Canis lupus familiaris: one gene and its partners. The protein of the gene in region 3 interacts with the protein of the main gene of each other region in a pairwise test. Links are inferred from orthologs where the notes say so. Each region holds a gene or a part of one and is shown on either strand. Other genes may lie near its edges. The genes, in order: HTT, SMAD4, PIAS1, ATXN1 and MX1.

The links.
Region 1: the proteins of PIAS1 (region 3) and HTT interact in binary tests that used the Homo sapiens proteins (3 or more experiments, as listed by UniProt). The link is inferred for Canis lupus familiaris from reciprocal best matches to the Homo sapiens genes PIAS1 and HTT.
Region 2: the proteins of PIAS1 (region 3) and SMAD4 interact in a two-hybrid assay, tested with the Homo sapiens proteins (2 studies listed by BioGRID and IntAct). The link is inferred for Canis lupus familiaris from reciprocal best matches to the Homo sapiens genes PIAS1 and SMAD4.
Region 4: the proteins of PIAS1 (region 3) and ATXN1 interact in binary tests that used the Homo sapiens proteins (3 or more experiments, as listed by UniProt). The link is inferred for Canis lupus familiaris from reciprocal best matches to the Homo sapiens genes PIAS1 and ATXN1.
Region 5: the proteins of PIAS1 (region 3) and MX1 interact in a two-hybrid assay, tested with the Homo sapiens proteins (2 studies listed by BioGRID). The link is inferred for Canis lupus familiaris from reciprocal best matches to the Homo sapiens genes PIAS1 and MX1.

What each region holds. Positions count from the first base shown.
Region 1 is NC_049224.1:61,750,081-61,754,191, forward strand, and holds the start of HTT (huntingtin), read right to left. Parts: upstream 2,809-4,111; 5' UTR 2,670-2,808; coding exon 2,455-2,669; intron 1-2,454.
Region 2 is NC_049222.1:24,020,631-24,024,143, forward strand, and holds part of SMAD4 (mothers against decapentaplegic homolog 4), read right to left. Parts: intron 3,399-3,513; coding exon 3,224-3,398; intron 2,780-3,223; coding exon 2,750-2,779; intron 1-2,749. UniProt on the Homo sapiens protein: In muscle physiology, plays a central role in the balance between atrophy and hypertrophy. When recruited by MSTN, promotes atrophy response via phosphorylated SMAD2/4.
Region 3 is NC_049251.1:32,546,715-32,550,949, reverse strand, and holds the start of PIAS1 (E3 SUMO-protein ligase PIAS1), read right to left. Parts: upstream 2,806-4,235; 5' UTR 2,791-2,805; coding exon 2,734-2,790; intron 1,498-2,733; exon of another isoform or gene 354-1,497; intron 1-353. UniProt on the Homo sapiens protein: Functions as an E3-type small ubiquitin-like modifier (SUMO) ligase, stabilizing the interaction between UBE2I and the substrate, and as a SUMO-tethering factor. Catalyzes sumoylation of various proteins, such as CEBPB, MRE11, MTA1, PTK2 and PML.
Region 4 is NC_049256.1:17,160,929-17,164,957, forward strand, and holds the start of ATXN1 (ataxin-1), read right to left. Parts: upstream 2,811-4,029; 5' UTR 2,570-2,810; intron 1,595-2,569; exon of another isoform or gene 1,336-1,594; intron 1-1,335. UniProt on the Homo sapiens protein: Chromatin-binding factor that repress Notch signaling in the absence of Notch intracellular domain by acting as a CBF1 corepressor. Binds to the HEY promoter and might assist, along with NCOR2, RBPJ-mediated repression. Binds RNA in vitro.
Region 5 is NC_049252.1:35,797,779-35,801,291, forward strand, and holds part of MX1 (interferon-induced GTP-binding protein Mx1), read left to right. Parts: coding exon 1-120; intron 121-2,330; coding exon 2,331-2,485; intron 2,486-3,149; coding exon 3,150-3,288; intron 3,289-3,513.

The DNA of each region.
Region 1 (4,111 bases), on a different chromosome or scaffold from region 3:
GAAACCTCCACAAGGGCAGAGCTTTATCTGTTGATTGCTGCAGCCCTGCAACTATTAGCACAGAGGCATACATTAGATGCTCAGTAAATATTTATCGATGGATGAATAACTAAAGTCAGGTGGAAACCAGGTGGGAATCTGAAGGACAGTAAGAAAAGCACTAAACACAAATGTCAACTATCTCATAATAGAGTTAGGACCGTCCCCACCTCTGGCACTCCCCTGCATGCCAGCCCTGCTGAGATTCTAGCCGGTCCCCTCCCACAACCCCAGCATCCCTGCATCCTACATGCTGAGCAGCAAGCAGGCACTAAAGCCCACGCATGGCTGTGACACTACAGCTCCACACAACAGAAGAGAACCATAAAAATAGAACAGATACTTTCTAAATCATTTTTGGACAATCCTGCTTTGGGGAATGGATTTTTCAGCTGAAGCACCTGAACAGAAATGCCAGGATCCAAACTTGTAAGCAGAGTCTGTTACTCAAAATTCATAAATTTCTACTTTCTCAACAGCAAAGTGCCTACAAATATGATATTTATGTATTTTATTTAAAATAACTACTATTAGGCCCATCAATGTAGTTGATTTCAGAGCATGCTAGGAAGCTTTAAAAGTTACTACTCTGAAATATTTCTATTTTAAATAACTCGAAATCTCTCTTCATGTATCCATGGGTTCTATCTGTAAGGGTACAGAAGGAAGAAGTTTAAGAGAGCTTGCCTCTGGGAACACAGTTAGGTACTCAGGAGAAACAGACGGAAGAGAGACATTTTAATTATTATATTTTTGTAATTCAAGAATTTGCATCATGGGAGTGTACTATTTACATGAAAATAATAAATTACGCTTTTTAAATAAGTCAATCACATATGACCTTAAAATAGGGTAATAAAACAACATCTATCTACTTTTGCAAGGGCAGTTTTAGAAAAAAAAAAAACCTACTTTATACCCATATTTTGAAGATAAACAAATTCAGATTCTGTCAAATCAGTGTAAGAAACAGATGGCACATTTTTAGACTGACCAAGTATTTGAACAAGCCTACAGTGACAGCAGTAAGGTCTCCCTTCCCACCCAAAGCCCTCCCTCCTTAACGCTTCCTGTTATACAAGACCCATGCAATGTGTGAACTTCCATGACATCTACCTCCTAGAGAGAGGCAGTCCAATAAAAGTCTGGGATGAATTATGATGATAAATTACCTGATGTAGAAAGAACTCAAATTATTTTTTAAGTATTTTTTTTCTCGAAGCATCCAAACAGGTTTTTCACCTCTTAGAAGAAAAATTAATTTACTTCTAAAGTCTATCCTAACAGCCAAGTCAACATCACTCCCCAAGTCATTTTCTAATTGAACTCTCAAGACATGGCAAGGACCACGTCAGAAACACAAAGAATAAAAAAACACTACTAAAATTGAACGTGACATTATAAAGGGGCTGCCCCTTGGAAACTGTCCTCATTAAATGCCACCACGCATCCAGATGGCAAACCCAGACGCCGGGGGAGAGAGGCCCGGACCGCCGCCGAGCACTCCCGCACTCCCGAGCTCACGGAGCCCGGGGAAAGTACCTGGGTTCCGCCGGCAGGAGCGGTCTCCAGGCACGAGCAGCAGAGACCCCTAGCTTCCAAACAGTAGCACGCAGGCGTCTCCAGCGAAGGAAACAGGAGCCACCCACAGGGACCGCAGGCAAGCCGAACTCCGAGCTGGTGTAATGCACATCATTCCTCCCCCAGCGCTGAACCTCCCTCTCGGCAACGGGTTGTTTTTATTGCCAAGTGAACACAGGCAATAAACTTCAGGCGACTCTTCCTAATAATGACCTTCTAAGCAGCTCACCACTTCCTTGGGTCTGCAAACCAGCTTGAGCTTAGACACGCGAGCGGATCTCCTCCTGATGCCAGCGGACACGCCTCGGGAGGATGCGGGAAGGCAGCCTCGAGGCGCAGAGAAGAGCCCCGCGGCGCCGGGGCCGCACTCCCGCGCCCTCCCCGCCCCCGCGGCCTGAAGGCATGATGTCACCGCTCTCCCCCCGCCCCACCCCCCGCGCTCGCTCCCAAGCCCGGCTCGCGGCGGGGTGTCCGGCGCCCGCGCTCCTTCCTCTCAGGGACGCCCAGGGGGAAGGGAAGCGGCGGCCTCGGCTATCCAAGTTCTGCCCACAGCACAGCCCGTTTCGTGCAGATACAAAGCAGCAAGTTCCTCCCCTAACTTCGCACGCCGGGAAAGGCGGGGGGCCGAGGCCGTGCCCGCCTCGGTGCCCTCGGGGGCGGCCGGCGAGCCCGAGTCCGCCTGCCGAGGGGCGCAGACACCCCCGGGGCCGGGTCTGGCCGCAGGACGGGCGGCGGTGCGCGCCCGGGGTTCGGGGAGCCGCGGGGCCGGGGTCTGCAGGGGCGCCGCAGCCCCCCGCCGTCGCGGGGCCGGAACTGCCGCGAGGCGGTACTCACGGTCGGTGCAGCGGCTCTTCGGCCACCGCCGGGCCCGGGGGCGGCGGGGGCGGGGGCGGCGGGGGCGGCTGCGGTAGCGGCGGCTGCGCCTGCGGCAGCGGCTGAGGAGGCTGAGGAGGTGGCGGCGGCGGAGGCTGCTGCTGCTGCTGTTGCTGCTGCTGCTGGAAGGACTTGAGGGACTCGAAGGCCTTCATCAGCTTTTCCAGGGTCGCCATGGCGGCCTCCCGTCCCGCGGGGACAGCCCCCCGAGCCCTCGAGCCGACCGGCGGCGGCGCTCAGCAACGCGGCAATGAATGGGGCTCGAGGCCGCGGACATGAGCGGAACCAAGGAGCCCGGCCATCTTGGACCCGTCCCGGCAGCCCCCGCGGCCGTGCGTCTCTCGACGCTGCGCCGGCGGGGCGGGGCCAGGGCGGCGGGATTGACAGCCCGGGGCGGAGACCTCTGCCAATGGCCGGCCTAAGCGCCGGCCTAAGCGCCGCCTGCCCCTCCCGCGCCCGCCCGCTCGGCTCCCAGCACCGCCGCGCGGCTGAGATCACAGCCCCACTTTCCGGTGGGGGCGGGGCGGGGCCCGGCGGGGCGGAGGATGGGGGCGGGGCCGGGGCGGGGCAAAGAGGGCGGACGAGGCAGGGGACGCGGCGGGGAAGCACCTGCGGCGGGAGGGGCGGAGCGGAGGAGGTAGGGCGCAGGGTGGGAGGCGGGGCAAAGCACAGGGTGCAGGGTGGGGGCGGGCAGTGAGGCGGGGCAGAGAGGACGGGGGCGGGCGGGGGGCGGGACAAAGAGGGCGGGCGTGGCAGGGGGCGCGGCGGTGAGGCACCTGGGGCGGGAACGGCTGGGCGCGCCAGGCAGAGGATGGGGGGGGGGCAGGGGGCGGGGCAGAGGTGACAGGGCGGGGGGTGAGGCACGGCGAGGCGGGGAGGGGAGGGGAGGGCCTAGGACAGGCACCCGGTAGAAACCTGCCGGGTCAGTGCCTGCAGCCCGCAGAGTCTGTGGCTGGTGCCACGAGCAGCCACTTAGACCCCAGAGGCGCCACGCATAGCAATGATGGCCCAACCCTAACGGGTTCGCTTGGAGGAGAAGACCCTTGCTCCACAGAGGTCTGCAGGGCACCTCCTGCTTAGGGTGGGTAGGCTCTGAGAAGGGTCCTGGGCTCCAGAGCCCCACTCCTTGGAGGCGAGGAAGTGAGCCAGCAGAGGACCACAGAGGGCGGTGGCGCATCAGGGGGCACCCTGCCTGGCAGGGAGTGGGTTGGCCCCAGAGAGAGTTGCCTGGGGAGGGGAGAAGGGACGGGGGTTGATGCATGCACTATGAACCCTCCCGATCCCACTCTGCCCACAGGCCACAACTCCACCTTCTCTCACCGCCAGTCAGTTGTCCCAAGTGGTCAGATAAAGGGAAGCCCAGCGGCACCACAGAAGCATTGCCCCTGAGGGGAGAACGACAGGACCCCCCCCCCTTCAGGGAAAGGACATCAGAGAATGTGCCCCCAGCCTGGAGGGCCTAGTTCCCTGAAGTTAATAATGAGGTGTGTACCAGGTCTCAGGCATGGCAGGCCACAGCGGCCAGGCTCCAAGTGTCGGGTGCTGTGGTCTGCAGACATTAAGACAGCCAGGTGACCCCTTCCTGATATTCATGATATCCATGCCTTCGTATGATCAG
Region 2 (3,513 bases), on a different chromosome or scaffold from region 3:
TAAAGAGCTACGCCTCATAACCTTCTCTCGCCTAATACACTGAATAAACCTTCCCCAATGTAAGTCTGAGAGTTCTACCGACTGCAAGTGTCTTCAATCAAATAACTTAAAACATGTCCCTTAGGTAAAACTATAGGTATCAAGGATAGATATCTGCAGAATATTTTTGCCAAGAGAAAAAAAGTTGGTTACAAAACACCATTGTACACTATGATCACATGCATGTTTAAAAAATCACATTCTGTAATTAAAAAAGCAAGGTCCAGAACAAGTGCACAATATGCTTTTAATGTAAGAAAAAGAGGGAAATAATACATGTTTTTTTTGCATAAAGAAACCCTGGAAGGAAACACCAGAAACTAATAAAAGTGATTACCTGAGGTAGGGGGGAATGGGGGCAGGGGTGGGAGCACTTCTTTTCACTGTATACCTTTTTATAGTATTTTGATTTATGGACCATGTATTGCCTATTCAAAAAAATAAAATTAAAAAAACATATAGTATATATTTTTTAAGTCCAGAATAACAGACACCAAACTATTAGCTATTTCTCTTTATGGACTAGCATTCAACAAATTTATTCACTGAATAAATATTTATTGAGTACTGTTCTAGTACCTGGGACACATGAATAAAGAAAAGAAAAATTTCTTTCATGGAACTTATACTACAATATTTTTTTCCAATATTTTTTTATTGTTTAAATATCTAATATCGAGGACACATTACTCCAGCTCCTCCTGTCTATCATGATCTTCATCTCATCAAGCGTAGATAATGCCACCTTCCATGTGGGAGTATAACGAGAACAATGAAGCAATACTTGTAACTCGTACAGCTCAGTTCTGGACAAAAAGTCTGTACTTATCAAGTATCAGCTGTTATGCTTTAACCATACTTTTACAGCAGTCATACATATAACTGTAAAATATTTTATGAGGGGTAAGAAATGTATAAGGGACAGAAAAGCTGAAGCCACTGGACTCACCCCAAGTCAGTGTTCTTATCCCCACCAGCAGGCAGAGCACAGCACTCGTCTGATGCTATTGCTGTCTTATTTACTTTGTCTTTCCTCCACTAAACTATTAGCTACCTAGTGTGGAGAAAACACACCTTACTTATCCTATCGTCCCTAGATCCTAACACAGTACCAAGCAATACATGCTCACTAAACATCTCTTAAAATGAATATGCAGACTGATGTGGTCATGGAAAGCTTCACAGAAGATATGAAATAGGCTGGAAATGATTACCCTAAGATTCCAACTCAAAAGTGAAGGAGTTATCCCATTTTCTTAACTTTTTCTTTACCTGGCTTTATATTATTACTCTGTCCAAATCTAGATGGGGATGTGGAAAACACCTGTTGTTTTTTAAGGAAATAAGCCACTGAAACTGGCCTTTACAAACCACCACTAGGGGGATGTGCAAGGCTAAAACAACCCTTAGAGCTACTAAAAAGAGCCTATCACCCCCACACACAATCTGACCAAAGATGACCAAAGATAGCTACTCATAACAGCAACATGTTAGGATAAGGGGGGAGTGTAATGAGTCTTCAAAACTGGATCTCCTCACAACCACTCCCACTAAGGAGATTCTGATATAGATATCACTAGAGTCCCCCAATCCTTAACCCCTGCTGAGCTAAATACTTTAATTCTCCAAAAGCATGGGTGGAGAATGGTGAAGATCTGAAGGGTATTTACTTTCAAAGAAAAAAGAAGACTAATATTAATGTAAATTGTAGTAAAGAGGCAAGACTTAAACCAATCTTAGAGCTACCCTTCCAGACCACTACCACATTACCAATCCATGTTTTCAGAAACCTACTAACCAGTAACAAGTACCAAAAGGGACTGGAGTCTTCCTCTATTATAGCGACATGGAAGAAAGGTGAACTATAAAAACAAGTAGACTTTCAAGCTCTTCCAAAATTTTGTTTAAGGTTAGATGTATTTCTGACCCACCTCTAAGATTCTGCAACAAGTACCAACCCACTGTTCCTCCAGAACAACTGCACATCTTTCTAAGATAATGGTGGTTCTTTATCAGAGTTTCTCTTCAAATTAACTGCTTACAAAAATTTTAGTTCATATTCTAAGTAATAAAACTAAAGTTTCAACAGATCTCTGTTCTCAAATATTACACTAAAAAACACCACCCCTCATTGATTTCATTTCCCTACCTCAAAACATGCTCTTTTAAAAGAGAATTAGATAATCTATGAAAGTTAAAGTAGCCTTGTTTCATTTACTCAAAAATGTAACAAGAAAAAAATATTAACATATGTAGTTTTAAATCATGCTTAAAATTATCATTCATAAAAAATAGGGAAAAACAAAGAAAAATTAGAATATTAGTATTTCTTAAAGGACATGCTATATATGACTCCAAATTACCAAACATTATAGGTATTTATATTCATTTAAATTGGCTCTGTAAGATTTTCTTCCAAAATGATCAGTTTTTATCAATTCAAAAAATATTCTTTCTTCATATGTTTTATATTCCCCTATCATATTTTTTAGGTCACTCCAGTGCATAAATGGTAGTTCAACAAACCACCAGGCTATTTAAATTCAGTTTTAAATACTGATGTGTGCTCCCAAAGAACTGGATTTCCAAAGCAGTAAGTATTTTTCTTGTAAATATTACCAGCATCCATACAAACTAATTTTAGGTCAATAAAAAATAGAGGGAACAGGATAAAGAAGACAGAGAAAGTTACAAGAAACAGATTACCTACCATTACTCTGCAGTGTTAATCCTGAGAGATCTTAATTTTTTAAAAGGGAAAAGAAAATGAAACATTAATCATTACCATGAAAATATTTTCCACTGTATTTAAAATTACAAAGTATAAATTTAACCCAGAGATTCAACACTTCACAAACCATTTCAACTCAAGAGTAGTAGTGTAAATGCTATCTGACGATACATAAACTATTCAATTCTATAATGCCTTCCACCTTATTTTTCAAAACCAATATTCTAGATGAGCAGAACATGAACTATAGTGTATACTTAGTTTTAGCAGTCAAAATACAAGTCTATTCTAAAGTTTAAATTTAAATATTTATATTTCATTAAAAATATCTGATTCTTAACCTTAGCTGAAGTCCTGGCTCTATCCAAATTTATAATTTGGCATAGAAAAATTAAAACAGTATCAAGAACTTTTCCCTTCATGCATCTGAAGATAAAAGCAAAGTCTACTTACCAATTCCAGGTGATACAACTCGTTCATAGTGATATGGATTCACACAGACACTATCACATTTTAAGTCAAATGCATACTGACAATATTTAACATGTTTGAGTTCATTTTTATGAAGATCAGGCCACCTCCAGAGACGAGCATAGATCACATGAGGAAATCCTTTCCGACCAGCCACCTAAGAAATATAAATGATCACTTATAGATTTTTTAAAAGATTTTATTTATTTATTCATGAGACACACACACAGAGAGACAGAGAGAGAGAGAGAGAGAGAGAGGCAGAGACACAG
Region 3 (4,235 bases):
CACGTACAGCAGCGAGACCCGCACGTACCATTTAAATAAAGGCGCCAAGCGAGGAGGTTTGACAGTTACTCCCCCCTGGACCTCCCCGCCCCCCATCCTCGCCGGGCTAGCGCCTCCGGGGAAAGCCGGAGCGGGGGGGCGGGGGGGGTGCGGGCCAGAGCCCCGCCTCTCCGTGGCCTGCAGAACCCTTCTTGCAAAGCTTGGATGCCTGCAGTCCCAGAAACCATAACGGCCCCCTCGCCTCCCCCCTCCTCCGCCTCCCCCCTCCCCCCCGGCGCAGCCAGCGAGTCCTTTTCAGCACCTGCTACCTGTGAGGCCACGCGTGCGCTAAAAATAATCCGTTACGTTTGCAGATCGCTGGATGAAGCATTTCCAGATTTCTTAGCTCAGATGTTCCTCATGACGGCGCGGTGAGGTGGGCAGAGGAGACGTTACAATCCCCGTGGCATCCTACGTAGTCAGAAATGAGAGCTCAGGGAAGGGGAAAAGTGAGTGGCCCAAACACTTTGACAGCGGTGACCCGGAGACAAAATTTCATAGACGTTCGTTCATTTAACTCTGTTTCAACGAGTGATGATTCACTGATTATGTACCAGTCCTGTTTCTTTGTGAATACATCGGGGAAATTTAAAAAAAAAAAAAAAAAAGAGTCCCCGCCCTCCTGTATGTAGCTCTCTACTGGAGGAACAGACAAGTGCACCGATAAAAGATACAATTACAAATGGTGAGGAGTACCGGAAAAGAGCTAAAAAGGTCCAGGGAGAAAAAAGCGGTTGGAAGGAGATGTGCTTGATACCGGGAGGGCTTTCTCCAATATTTTGACGTTTGAGCAGATGTGATGAATTATTTCACACCTTTTCCTCGCTACTGAAAGCTTCCCAACCTCCACTCTTTGCTCTCAATTTTTGCTTCATTCCTCATGGAAAAAAATTAAAAGATATAACAGCCATGAACTCCCTTATCTTCTCACCATCAAAACTATTATTACAGACATAGTAACATTTGGGTTACTATGAATGAAGTGTCCTTGCGCCTATGAATGCCAGTCCCTCTACCAGTGACCTGGATTCCTTTCCCTCCCACATTCCTAAAAACTTTACTCCTACAATCACCTCGCCCTCCAGCATCATAACTTTTTCCCCTATTAGATTACTTCTATCAGGATACAAACATACTGAAATTCCTCCCATCTAAAACAAACCTCCCTTGACTCCAAAATCTCCTCCAGAACTGCCCTATTTCTCCCTCTTCAGTGCATAAATTCTCAGGTTTTTCAAGATCTCCCAACAGTGATTGTTCTCCTTTCCTCATTCCCTTCTCCTACCACATTCCCTTCTCAGCCCACTCCGATCCAGCCTTGACTTCTCTCATCGAGATCACTTATCAAGATTATTAATAATCTCTGTTTCCAAAACCACCTGTCAATTCTGTATTATCTAAAATGACCTCACAGCAGAACTGCAATAACTAAATAAATCTTAAAAAAAAAAAAAAAAATGGATGGGAGCTGGTCACTGGAAAGACTAAACATTGGGCACCTGGGTGGCTCAGTCGGTTAAGCATCTGCCTTCAGCTCAGGTTATGATCTGAGAGTCTTAGAATCAAATCTCACATGAGGCTCCCTGCTCAGTGGGGAGTCTGCTTCTCCCTCTCCTTCTACCCCTCCCCCCTGCTCATGTTCTCTCTCAAATAAATAAAATCAAAAAAAAAAAAAAAAGAAAGAAAGAAAGACTAAAGTGATTAGAGGGAGGTTAGTAGATACATGGAAGTACTAGGAAATGGGCGCCAAGAGAGAGCAGAGAAGCTCTGCATTCCCGCCCTTCATGCATTACCCTATGAATCTCTTTCACTTAGCTGTTCCTGAGTTATTTCCTATATATTAAACTGGTAGGGGGCACCTGGGTAGCTCAGATGATTAAGCATCTGCCTTTGGCTCAGGTCATGATCTCAAGGTCCTGGGATCGAGTCCTGTATTGGGCTCCCTGCTCAGTGGGGAACCTTCTTCTCCTTCTCCATCTGTCTCTCCCCCTGCTCATGTTCTCTCTCTGTCTGAAATGAATAAATAAAATATTTTAAAATAATAATGATAATAATAATAATAAAGTGGTAAATGTAAGTAAAATGTTTTCCTGAGTTTTGTGAGTCCATTCTAATAGATAATCAAAACTGAGCAGAAATTATAGGAATTCTCAAATTTGGTAGGTCAGAAGTTCAAGTGGCCCATGAGACTGGCAACTGGTATCTGAAGTAGGAGCAGTCTTGTGGAACTGAGCCCTTAACCTGTGGGATCTCAACTTATCCCTGGAGTTGATGTCAAAACTGAATTATTGGATATTTAGTTGGTGTTAGAAGAATTGGTATGGAAAGATTTAGTGTCAGAACCTCAGAGTTTCTTTAATATATATATTTTTAAAACTACATTTTACATTTGTATTGGTAAAGACTAATGCAATCCAAGCAGAGTATGCTTATTTTTTTCTTCTGATTTTAAGGATTTAAAACATTTTTGTGGGCCCTAAAATGATTGTCCCACCAACATGTAAAAATTAACTTCGAATTAATCATAGACCTAAATATGAGTTAAAACTTTAAAACTCTTTGGGGTAAGTCTCTATAACCTTGAGTGAGAAGTAGCTTTCTTAGATAGGGATCACACACAAGTTTGTGGTAGGAATGGTATAGCCATTTTGGAAAAGAGTTTGGCCGTTCTTTGAAAACTGAAAAGGTACTCACCATACAACCCAACAACTCTTGGACATTTATCCCGGAGAAACAAAAACTTCTTTCCATGAAGGGAATTGTACAAGAATGTTCATAGCAGGGATCCTTGGGTGGTGCAGCGGTTTGGCGCCTGTCTTTGGCCCAGGGCGCGATCCTGGAGACCCGGGATCGAATCCCACGTCGGGCTCCCAGTGCATGGAGCCTGCTTCTCCCTCTGCCTATGTCTCTGCCTCTCTCGCTCTCTCTCTCTGTGACTATCATAAATAAATAAAAATTAAAAAAAAAAGAATGTTCATAGCAGCTTTATAAGAATCCCAAACCAGAAACTATCCAAATCTCCTTTAATGGGTAAATGGCTAAACAAACTGCAATACAGGTATCTTATGGAATACTACTTAGCAATTTAAAAACAAAAACAAAAACACACAACAACTTGGATAAACTTCATGGAAATTATACTGATTGAAAAAATAATAATCCCAAAAGGATGTCTATTATGTAACATTAATGAAATAACATAAATACAGAGATAGAGAATAGACTAGTGGTTGTCAAGGAATTAGGGATGGGGGGAAAGGGTGGTTCCTACCAATGTCAATTTCATGGTTTTGATATTACACTTTAGTTCCACAAAATATTAACTTCCAGGGAGACTGGGGAAAGGATGCATGTGACTTCCCTATACATTTCTTTGCAATCTCCTGTGAATCTATAATTACTTCAATACAAAAGTACACATTTTTTCATATATATATGTATATATGAATATGAATATCTAAAAAGTATACATGTATATAAATATTGAAGATACAATGTATCAAAATTGTGAGGAGAGGGATATCATCAAAATGGCAGAACTGACAGCTCTAAACCCCCATACCTCCATGGAAACTTTAAAAAATAACCAGCAACTGTCAGACCAACTTTGTCAGAATTCTGGAAAACAGTCAACCAAGTAAATGTTCAATCCAAAAAATAAAGTAAAATAAAATAAGACAACTTAAAAATGGCAAGAAAACTTTATGATACTTTCATTTATCCCTGCCCTACTCTATCTATGACTTGGCCACCGCAGCCCACCTTCCTAGGATGGAGCTCTAGTCCCTGGAAATCATTGTTTTCATCTGTTCTAATCTTCCTGGAAGCCAGCTGAAGGACTAACGCAAGGCTTATCTCTCTTTTGCTTAACCAGCAGAAAAGCGGCAGACATTGCCTGAAAATACTGTAAGGTAAATAAACAACCTGCAACTGCCTGGGGACGAAGGTTACCATTGGTACCTAAATAGACCACCTAAAGCCTGGGAGTAAAAGCTAAGGAGAGAAGTATACTGGGAATTTAGGTCATTCAAAATGAAAAGTGCTCATGAACACAGGGGCATTTAGAAGGCCATGTAACATGCCTGAGACAAGATGCATCTCAGGAAAGACCCCAAAAAGGCCTAAGATTCCAACATTGGCTGCTAAACATGTTAGTTGCAACCAGGAAGTGAAGGCTAAGAAAGAATTTCAAATGG
Region 4 (4,029 bases), on a different chromosome or scaffold from region 3:
GAGCCCTCCACCCTCTGCTGTCCATGGAAGGTGGCTTCCAAGCCTGTTCGTCTGTGGAGCTGCTAAAATATTGACTGAGGCACGCACACTTGGAGGACAATCAGAGGAGATTAAATGCCACAGCATTAGCTGTTATGGTGCAATCCCTTTCTAAGAGTTCATGTGCAGGATTTTCTCAACCTTCTCTTTGGTGCTGGTTTCCTCAGGCACAGGCTTCACTCCACCAAAAAAAAAAAAAAAAAAAAAAAAAAAAGTCCAAGTATCAAACTACAAATAAACCACAGGGTGGGCTCACAGGGGCTTCTAGGAACGAACAGCAGGGCTCCTCAGAAACCCAAACAGAAATGGCTTAGCTAACTAACACTATTGAAAAAGTAACTGGCTCTGCCTAAAAATAACCATCAAGTAACTACCCACTGCTCTGTGCGATATGTACCGACAATGTTTAAATATTAAGAGCAGCCTGCATTACAAAACACAAATGTCATTGAGATGTGACTACTCGATTGCCAAAGGAGAGCTTATTTGCATATACACATTCCCGTGCCTGCACCAAGGGACACGCAGGGAGCCTGCCACTCTAAGGCGGTAGTTTTTATTCTGCGGGTGCAAGGGGGTCGTCTAATTCTACTGATCGTATCCTGCGGATCTCGCAGGGAAGCTACGAATCTCTTCGGGGACAGAACCAGTTTGGAGGAGTCCCTTACTGCACAGCATACGGTAAACAAAATAAAAATAGCTTGCCGTTCTCGTTAGCCACATCGCGCATTATATAACCAGCTTCCGACTGGCTTTTTTTTTTTTTTCCCCCTTACTACTCTTCAGCAATTTCCCAATCTCCCGAAGTATTTATATTACCCTCTTATCTGCAGGATTATATACTAAGAAAGCACAACAACACAGAGCAGCCACAGGGTTGAACCGAACCCCACGGTCCCTGGAAACTGATTTTTTTTGTTGTTGTTGCTGCTGCTGCTGCTGTGTTCTGGCAAGATCTCCACCACCACCCTACTTCCACCCCCCACGAAGGTCCTTTTGCTCGGTCTCCCTAGAAAACCTGAATTGTTGCACCGCTTCCAGGCAGCCCCCTACGTGGTCTGAAATAAAATGAAAGCACAAGCCCCGGAGTTTCGGAAGGCGGCGGGAGGGCGGGGGGCCGGGGAGGGGTCGGGGCGCCGCGGAGTCAGCCAAGTGGCCGGCGAGGGGCCGCTGCCCCCCGCGCCCGCCCCGGCGCCCCCACCCGCGCGCGCGCACACACACACACACACACACACACGCGCGCGCACACGCACTCACACACGCACGCACTCACTCACACTCACGCCGCCGCCTCACCTCTCGCTCCGCCCGGCCGGCCCCTTCCCTGCCCCCGGCGGGACCGGCCTGCTCGCGGCGCTGGAACCACGTAGGAGGCGGCGGCCGCGGGAGTGGCGGAGTCTCCGGCCCGGCCCAGAGTGAGCGAGCAGCGGGGCTCCAGGGCGCATCCCAATCCCCGCAGCGCCTCCTCCGCCGCCGCCGCCTCCTCCTTCCCCTCCTCCTGGCTTCATTCACCCTCCCAGCCGCCGCGCAGCCGCTCACTCCCGGCGCCGCTCCTCCGCTGCCGCCGCGGGCGCTGGCGGGGGCGCCGGCCCGGGCTGGGGCGCTCGCGGGCTCCGGGCTCCGGGCGGCGGCGGCTGCACATGATCAGGAAGCGGCCGCACCAACAGGGCGGCGGTGGCGGCGGCGGCGGCGGCGGCGGCGGCGGCGGCGGCGGAGGAGGAGGAGGAGGAGGAGGAGGCGGCAGGGCCGCCGCCGCCGCCGCTCCAGCCGCGCTCCCGGCACCCGCACGTCGGCTCCCCCCGCGCCCACCCCTCCGCGCCCCCCGCGCTCCCACCGCCCGGCGCCCGGCCGCGCGCAGAGTCCCGGGCCGCAGCCACACGCCGGGCGAGGCCGGCCTCCGCGGGGGACCCCCCGCCCCGGGCTCAGGGGCCGGGCGGCCCTCGCGGGGGGCGGGGGGGAGGCCCGGCCCCCCTCCGGACCCACTGGCTCCGCCGCCCTCCCGGGGGCCCGGGCTGCGCAGGGGGCGGCGGGCGAGAGGGCAGCGCGACCCCCGGCCGCCGCCGCCGCCGCCGCCGCCGCCTCCAGGGAGGGGGACGCGGGTCTCCGCACTCGCGGCCGGCCCGGCAGCCCCGCCGCTCCCCCGCCCGCTCCCGCTCCCGCTCCCGCACCCCCAGCCCGGGCGCGCCCCCTCGCCGGGCGGGCGCCCACCGGCCCGGCAGCCCCCCTGCCGTCAGTCCCTGCGCCCCGAGCGGGGGTGTCGGCCCGGGAGGCTGGAGCGGGAGAAGGCGGTATGTACACACACACACACACACACACACACACACACGACACAGCACGACGCGTCGATTTCCTTCGCTCCTCTTCCAGCTGTTTTCTGTGCCGGCGACTGGGGTTTGGGGTTTGTTTGCTGGTTGTTGCTTTTGCCCCTCTCTGGAGAGCGGGGGTAGGGGCCAATTTTAATCTAGATAAGGGGCGAAGGGGATGGGGGAGGGGGAGGAGAGAATCAGAGGAGAAAAAAATAGCCACTTACTGTAAAGTGTAAATGGATCTGGGGTTGCGTGGGGAAGGGGGGGCAGAGGGAGAGAAACAGTGTCTTGCGGCTGCTGTAGCTCTGGCGGCTGCTCCGCGGGGCTTGTTTTGTGATCCCCCTGCAGTGAAACAGGTCCTGTACGGCTCCGCCACTGTAGTAGAAATGATGTCTGCGGTACACTCTGCTCTCTCCTCCTCCTCCTCCTCCCCGTCCTCCTCCTCCTCCTCCTCGTCCTCCTCCTCCTCCTCCTCGCCCTCCTCCTCCTCCGACCCCCCCGCTCCCCTCCCCTCCCTCCTCCCTCCGCCCGCCCGCCCTCCCTCCCTCGCGCTCTCTCGCGCTCGCTCGCTCGCTCGCTCGCTCCAGTATGTAAATGTGTAATAGAAGCCAAATATGGAGCAGTTGGCTGCCGCCGCCGCAGCTCAAGGATCCGACTTGGGGGTGGGGGGTGGGGGGGTGGCGGGGGGGGCCCCGCGGCGGGCGGCGGGCGGCTCGGAGCAGCGCGAGCGCACGGCGCGGCGGACGGCCCGGCCGGCGCCCTTAACCCTTGGCTGCGCGCGGCCCGGGGAGGCGGCCCCGGGAGGCGGCGCGCGGCCGGCGACCGGCTGGCGAGCGGGGGGCGGGGGGGGCGCCTCCGGCCGGAGGGACGCTTCTTCCAGGTTTGGGAAAGGGGCGGGGAGCTGAAGCGATGAGGTAATTTCAGCGGTGACCGGTCGGTCCTCGCGCGCCTCCCCGGGTCCCTGCACCTAGTTGGAGGGGGACGGGGCGAGGACGGCGGGGTGCAGCTCGCGGCGGCCTGCAGGGCGCTCCGGGGGGTGTCGGGCTCCGGCCCGCAGGCGGAGGGGAGGGGGCGCGAGGGTGATCCCGACGTGCCCTGGGTCCGGGGCGCGCCGAGAATCGTCTAAGGGGGCAGACTCGGATCGCCGCGCGGCGGCTTCAGCCCCTGAACCGGGCCCGCGGGGCTGCGGGGATTGCCTCTGCGTGCGACTCGGGAAAGTTTGCAGGGTCCCCGCGCCCGCATGGGCACCGTCACCTTTCCCGCCTGCCGGAGCGGGTGCCCCCTCCTCCCACCCCCACCCCCCCACCCCCCACCCCCCACCCCGTTTCGCTTTCTGCAGGTCTGGAAATCCGCTCGGTAGCGCCCAGCCCCAGCCTCGGAAGACGACCCGCGCGCTGCTCTCGCGGCTCATTCGGATCATTAATTTAATCGGAAATGAGGTAACCGGTGCAGGAGACACAGAAAGCAAACCGAACGTCAAATGGCAGTTCTCGGGGATCCACGCTGGGGAACTTCCTCCGCGCTCGGCCCCCCGGCGCGGGTCCCCGCGGCCCACCGCCCCGCCCCCTCCGCGCGTGCCGCCGCCAGGTGTTAGCTGGGTGGCGAGGAGCCTGCTGTCGAGGGGTGCACCTTGCCAACAGGTGTGGCACCTGGAGGAAGCGCAGTGACATCCGTGCTGGAGGGA
Region 5 (3,513 bases), on a different chromosome or scaffold from region 3:
CTCTGGTGCTGAAGCTGAAGAAGCTCATAAATGAGGATGAGTGGAGAGGCAAAGTCAGTTACCAGGATACTGAGATGGAGATTTCAGACCCTTCAGAGGTGGAAGTGGAAATCAATAAAGGTGAGTGCCCCATGTTTGTTTGTCATCACCTGCTTGGATGTCTGGTCACCTGTGTGAAGTGGGAGGAGGTCCATCTGTCCTTCTTCCTACCTTCCCTTTCTGGGCTGGTCTTCCTCTCACCCTGTGAGCCAGGCCCTGGCTCCCTCATAGCTTCTCTTCTTTGACCCTCATTATGACCAGCACCTTGGACAGGATCTGATCTCAGCAATTTATTGCTTAGTTTGTAAGTAAGTATCTGGAGGTAATGTGAATTTTAAAATTTAAACAAGGAGGAGCTGTCCTTTATTCAAGGGCTTTCCCCCTCCACAGATCTGATGGAGGAAGAATCGGTTTGTGGGGCTGGGAAACCTCTTTCCCATTCACGTAGGAATTCACCTGGTTGAAAGGCATTCTGGAACACTCCTGAACCCTCTTTAGAAGCTTTCCTGGGGCCCTTTCCGCCAAGAGTGAAATGCATGTGTGTGCATAATCCTAGCTTGGGCTGACTTACGATAGGTCTCAGTGAATGCAAGCCACGCAGGTCACGCTGCCAACTTGAAGCATCTGAAAGGGGAAATAGCACTTGAAGTAGGGAAGGACCAGTAGTGACCCCATTGGCTGCTGCTGAGACTGAGGAGAATAAATAAGCTTTTCAATCATTTGAGGAGGGTTCAAAAGTAGCATAACATTAATATTGAGCAGCAGAAAAGGAGTTTGACTTTTATGAAGTAGAAGCCCTAAGTCGTATTTACAGACTGTTTTTTACAAAAGTTAAGGGATGTTTTATAGTCAAAACGCTATTGTGTGATTGTTGGGGTCAGGTTAGCTCCTAAGGCAGAAAATTCAAAACCACTGTGTATACTTAATTGTCCCTTTCTGTGTAACAAACTGATCTCAAAACCCAATGGCTTGGAACTGTTCATTACTCGTGATTCAGAGGATCAGCTGGCTTGCTGGGTCCAGCAGTCCAAGATGGCTTTGGTCACATACCCAAGCCCGGGGCTGCAATGACCAGGCCTTCTCTCCATGTGGTGGCCATCCTCTTCCAGGAGGCCAAGTTGGGCTCTTTAGATGGTGGTAGAGGGCTTCCCAGCAACAAGGGGGGAGAAGCCCCATGCACAAGTTCTCAATCTCTATTGCAATCCATTCTGTGATGTCCTGTCAGCCAAAGGGGGTCACATGGGCAAGCCCAATGTCAAGGGACAGACTGTCTGAATGGGAGAAGGTCACCCTGTAGAGGAGCATGCAGACAGTGATGGAAGGGACTGTTGAGGCCATTTGTGCAAGTGGGCTGCTAACACGGTGGTTTAAACAATGTGCCCATTTTATTTCTCTCTCATGTAGATGTCTGGAGGTGGGCAGACCAGAGCTGGTTTGAGGGTTCCAGCGTCAGGAACCAGACTCCCATGTTGTTTCTCGTTGTGTGTGGCCGTCACTCCCAAAGCCACATAATTATTCAGAATTCCCTTGTCCCAGCCAGCTGGACACCAGCACAGGGCTTTTCCTGCCTGTTCAGGAGAGTTTATGGAGGTTGCCTGTGCCTTTGTCACATTTATCTCATGGGCCAAACTTAATCTCACAACCACATATCTGGTAAATGGAAATTGGAGGCACAGTTATCAGATAATGACACACATGCCATTGCTGTCACTCTCATCCCAAGGTCTTGAGTGTATAAAACAAGCCAAAAAGGCATTCTGGTTGTAGAAAGAAGTCAAATGGTAGCAGCTAACAATTTGACAAAATCCATGTATATCTTGAAATTTTCATCATTAAGGAGGAAGAAGTAAAATGAAATCCCATAATGGAATACCAGTGCTCATCTTCCTTGAAATAACCACATTCCCCTCCATACCTTTCCAGATCATGTTTCAAGAGTCCCTGTGTGTTTTTATTTGCTTTCATTTTACCTTGTTGGTAATTTCCTAATGACATCAATGGGAAGATTTAGGTGTGACAGCAGGAAGAACTCAGGTCTGCCCAGCTCTGAACTGGTACAGGTGGGGGTGATCTTGAGGGATGTTTTCACTAGGTCTCTCTGCATATGGTTCTGCCCATTGGCAAAGAAAATACTGAGTTGTGCTTTGAGGTTCCTTTTAGCTCCAGAAAAGTACATCTGTTCCAGATATGCCTTGTCCAGGACTCATGGCAGGGAAGTTTTGCTGTAGGGCTGTAGGGAGATGCTTCCACTATAAGCTCTGTTGAGTTTCTCTCATTTCCCCCTTCCCTAGCCCAGGATGCCATTGCCGGGGAAGGACAGGGGATCAGTCATGAGCTAATCAGCCTGGAGGTCAGCTCTCCTCATGTCCCGGATCTGACCCTGATAGACCTCCCTGGCATCACCAGGGTGGCTGTGGGCAATCAGCCAGCTGACATCGGACGCCAGGTAAAACCTTGGTCTGGGAGGGTTGCGGAGTGGTGCCCCAGACAGCAGTGGGTTCAGGGCTGAGCCAGGATAGTGAATCTCAGGAGGTGTGAAGTGGATGGGGAGAGCGTGGTGGTCTCTGTGGCCTCTACCAAGTCAGATGGAGGCACTCTGGGGAGTGTGAGACCAACAGGCAAGACTGGAAATCCATTTTACACACGTTCGCGTTTTACCCCGTGACTCGTTTTTGGTTATAGTTACATTTTGTGGTGTATCTAGACCAATGTGTATTAGGAAGGGGTTTTATGTGGGGAGAGAAAGCATTAGAAACAAGTATAATGATATTTTCGTATTGGCGAATGTCACCCAATAGATGAAATAAAGATTTAGGGCACAGTTGAGCGCTTTTTTGAGTTTTATTTTTCCCCGTGGTTATCAGCTGTGGAGTCTTAGAAGGCAGTTACTGGGCTAAGATCTGGTGGTTTCCCAGAGCTCTGGACCCCAGAGCTCTGTTTTTGCCACGGGGAAACTTGGATTCTTGTAACCCAGGCATGAGTTTTAAGTGCCACCAGGATTTGCCGTGGGCTCATTTCTTTTGGGGAGATACTCCTGGGACTCTGAGGTCCCAAAGCAAGTGCAAGGTCAGGCCCTGTCCCTGCTCTCATATGCTCTTATTTTTCCGCAGACCAAGCAACTCATTAGGAAGTACATCCTTAAGCAGGAGACGATCAACTTGGTGGTGGTCCCCTGCAACGTGGACATTGCCACCACGGAGGCACTGAGCATGGCTCAGGAGGTGGACCCTGATGGAGACAGGACCATAGGTAAGAAGAAGGAAGAACCTAGACGCCATAGGTGGTCTTCACTTTGCAGCAGCCTCAGCCAATGATGCCGCTGGTCCTGGCCGGACTTGTGCTTCTCCGAGGGTGGGCCACGCGCCACCTGCTGCAGGAATAACTGCAGAATGTTTAGAAATTCAAGTGCCTCGACCCCGCCAACCCTCCTGTGTCAGACTCTACGGGGCAGGGCCCTGCATCCTAAGACTTGCC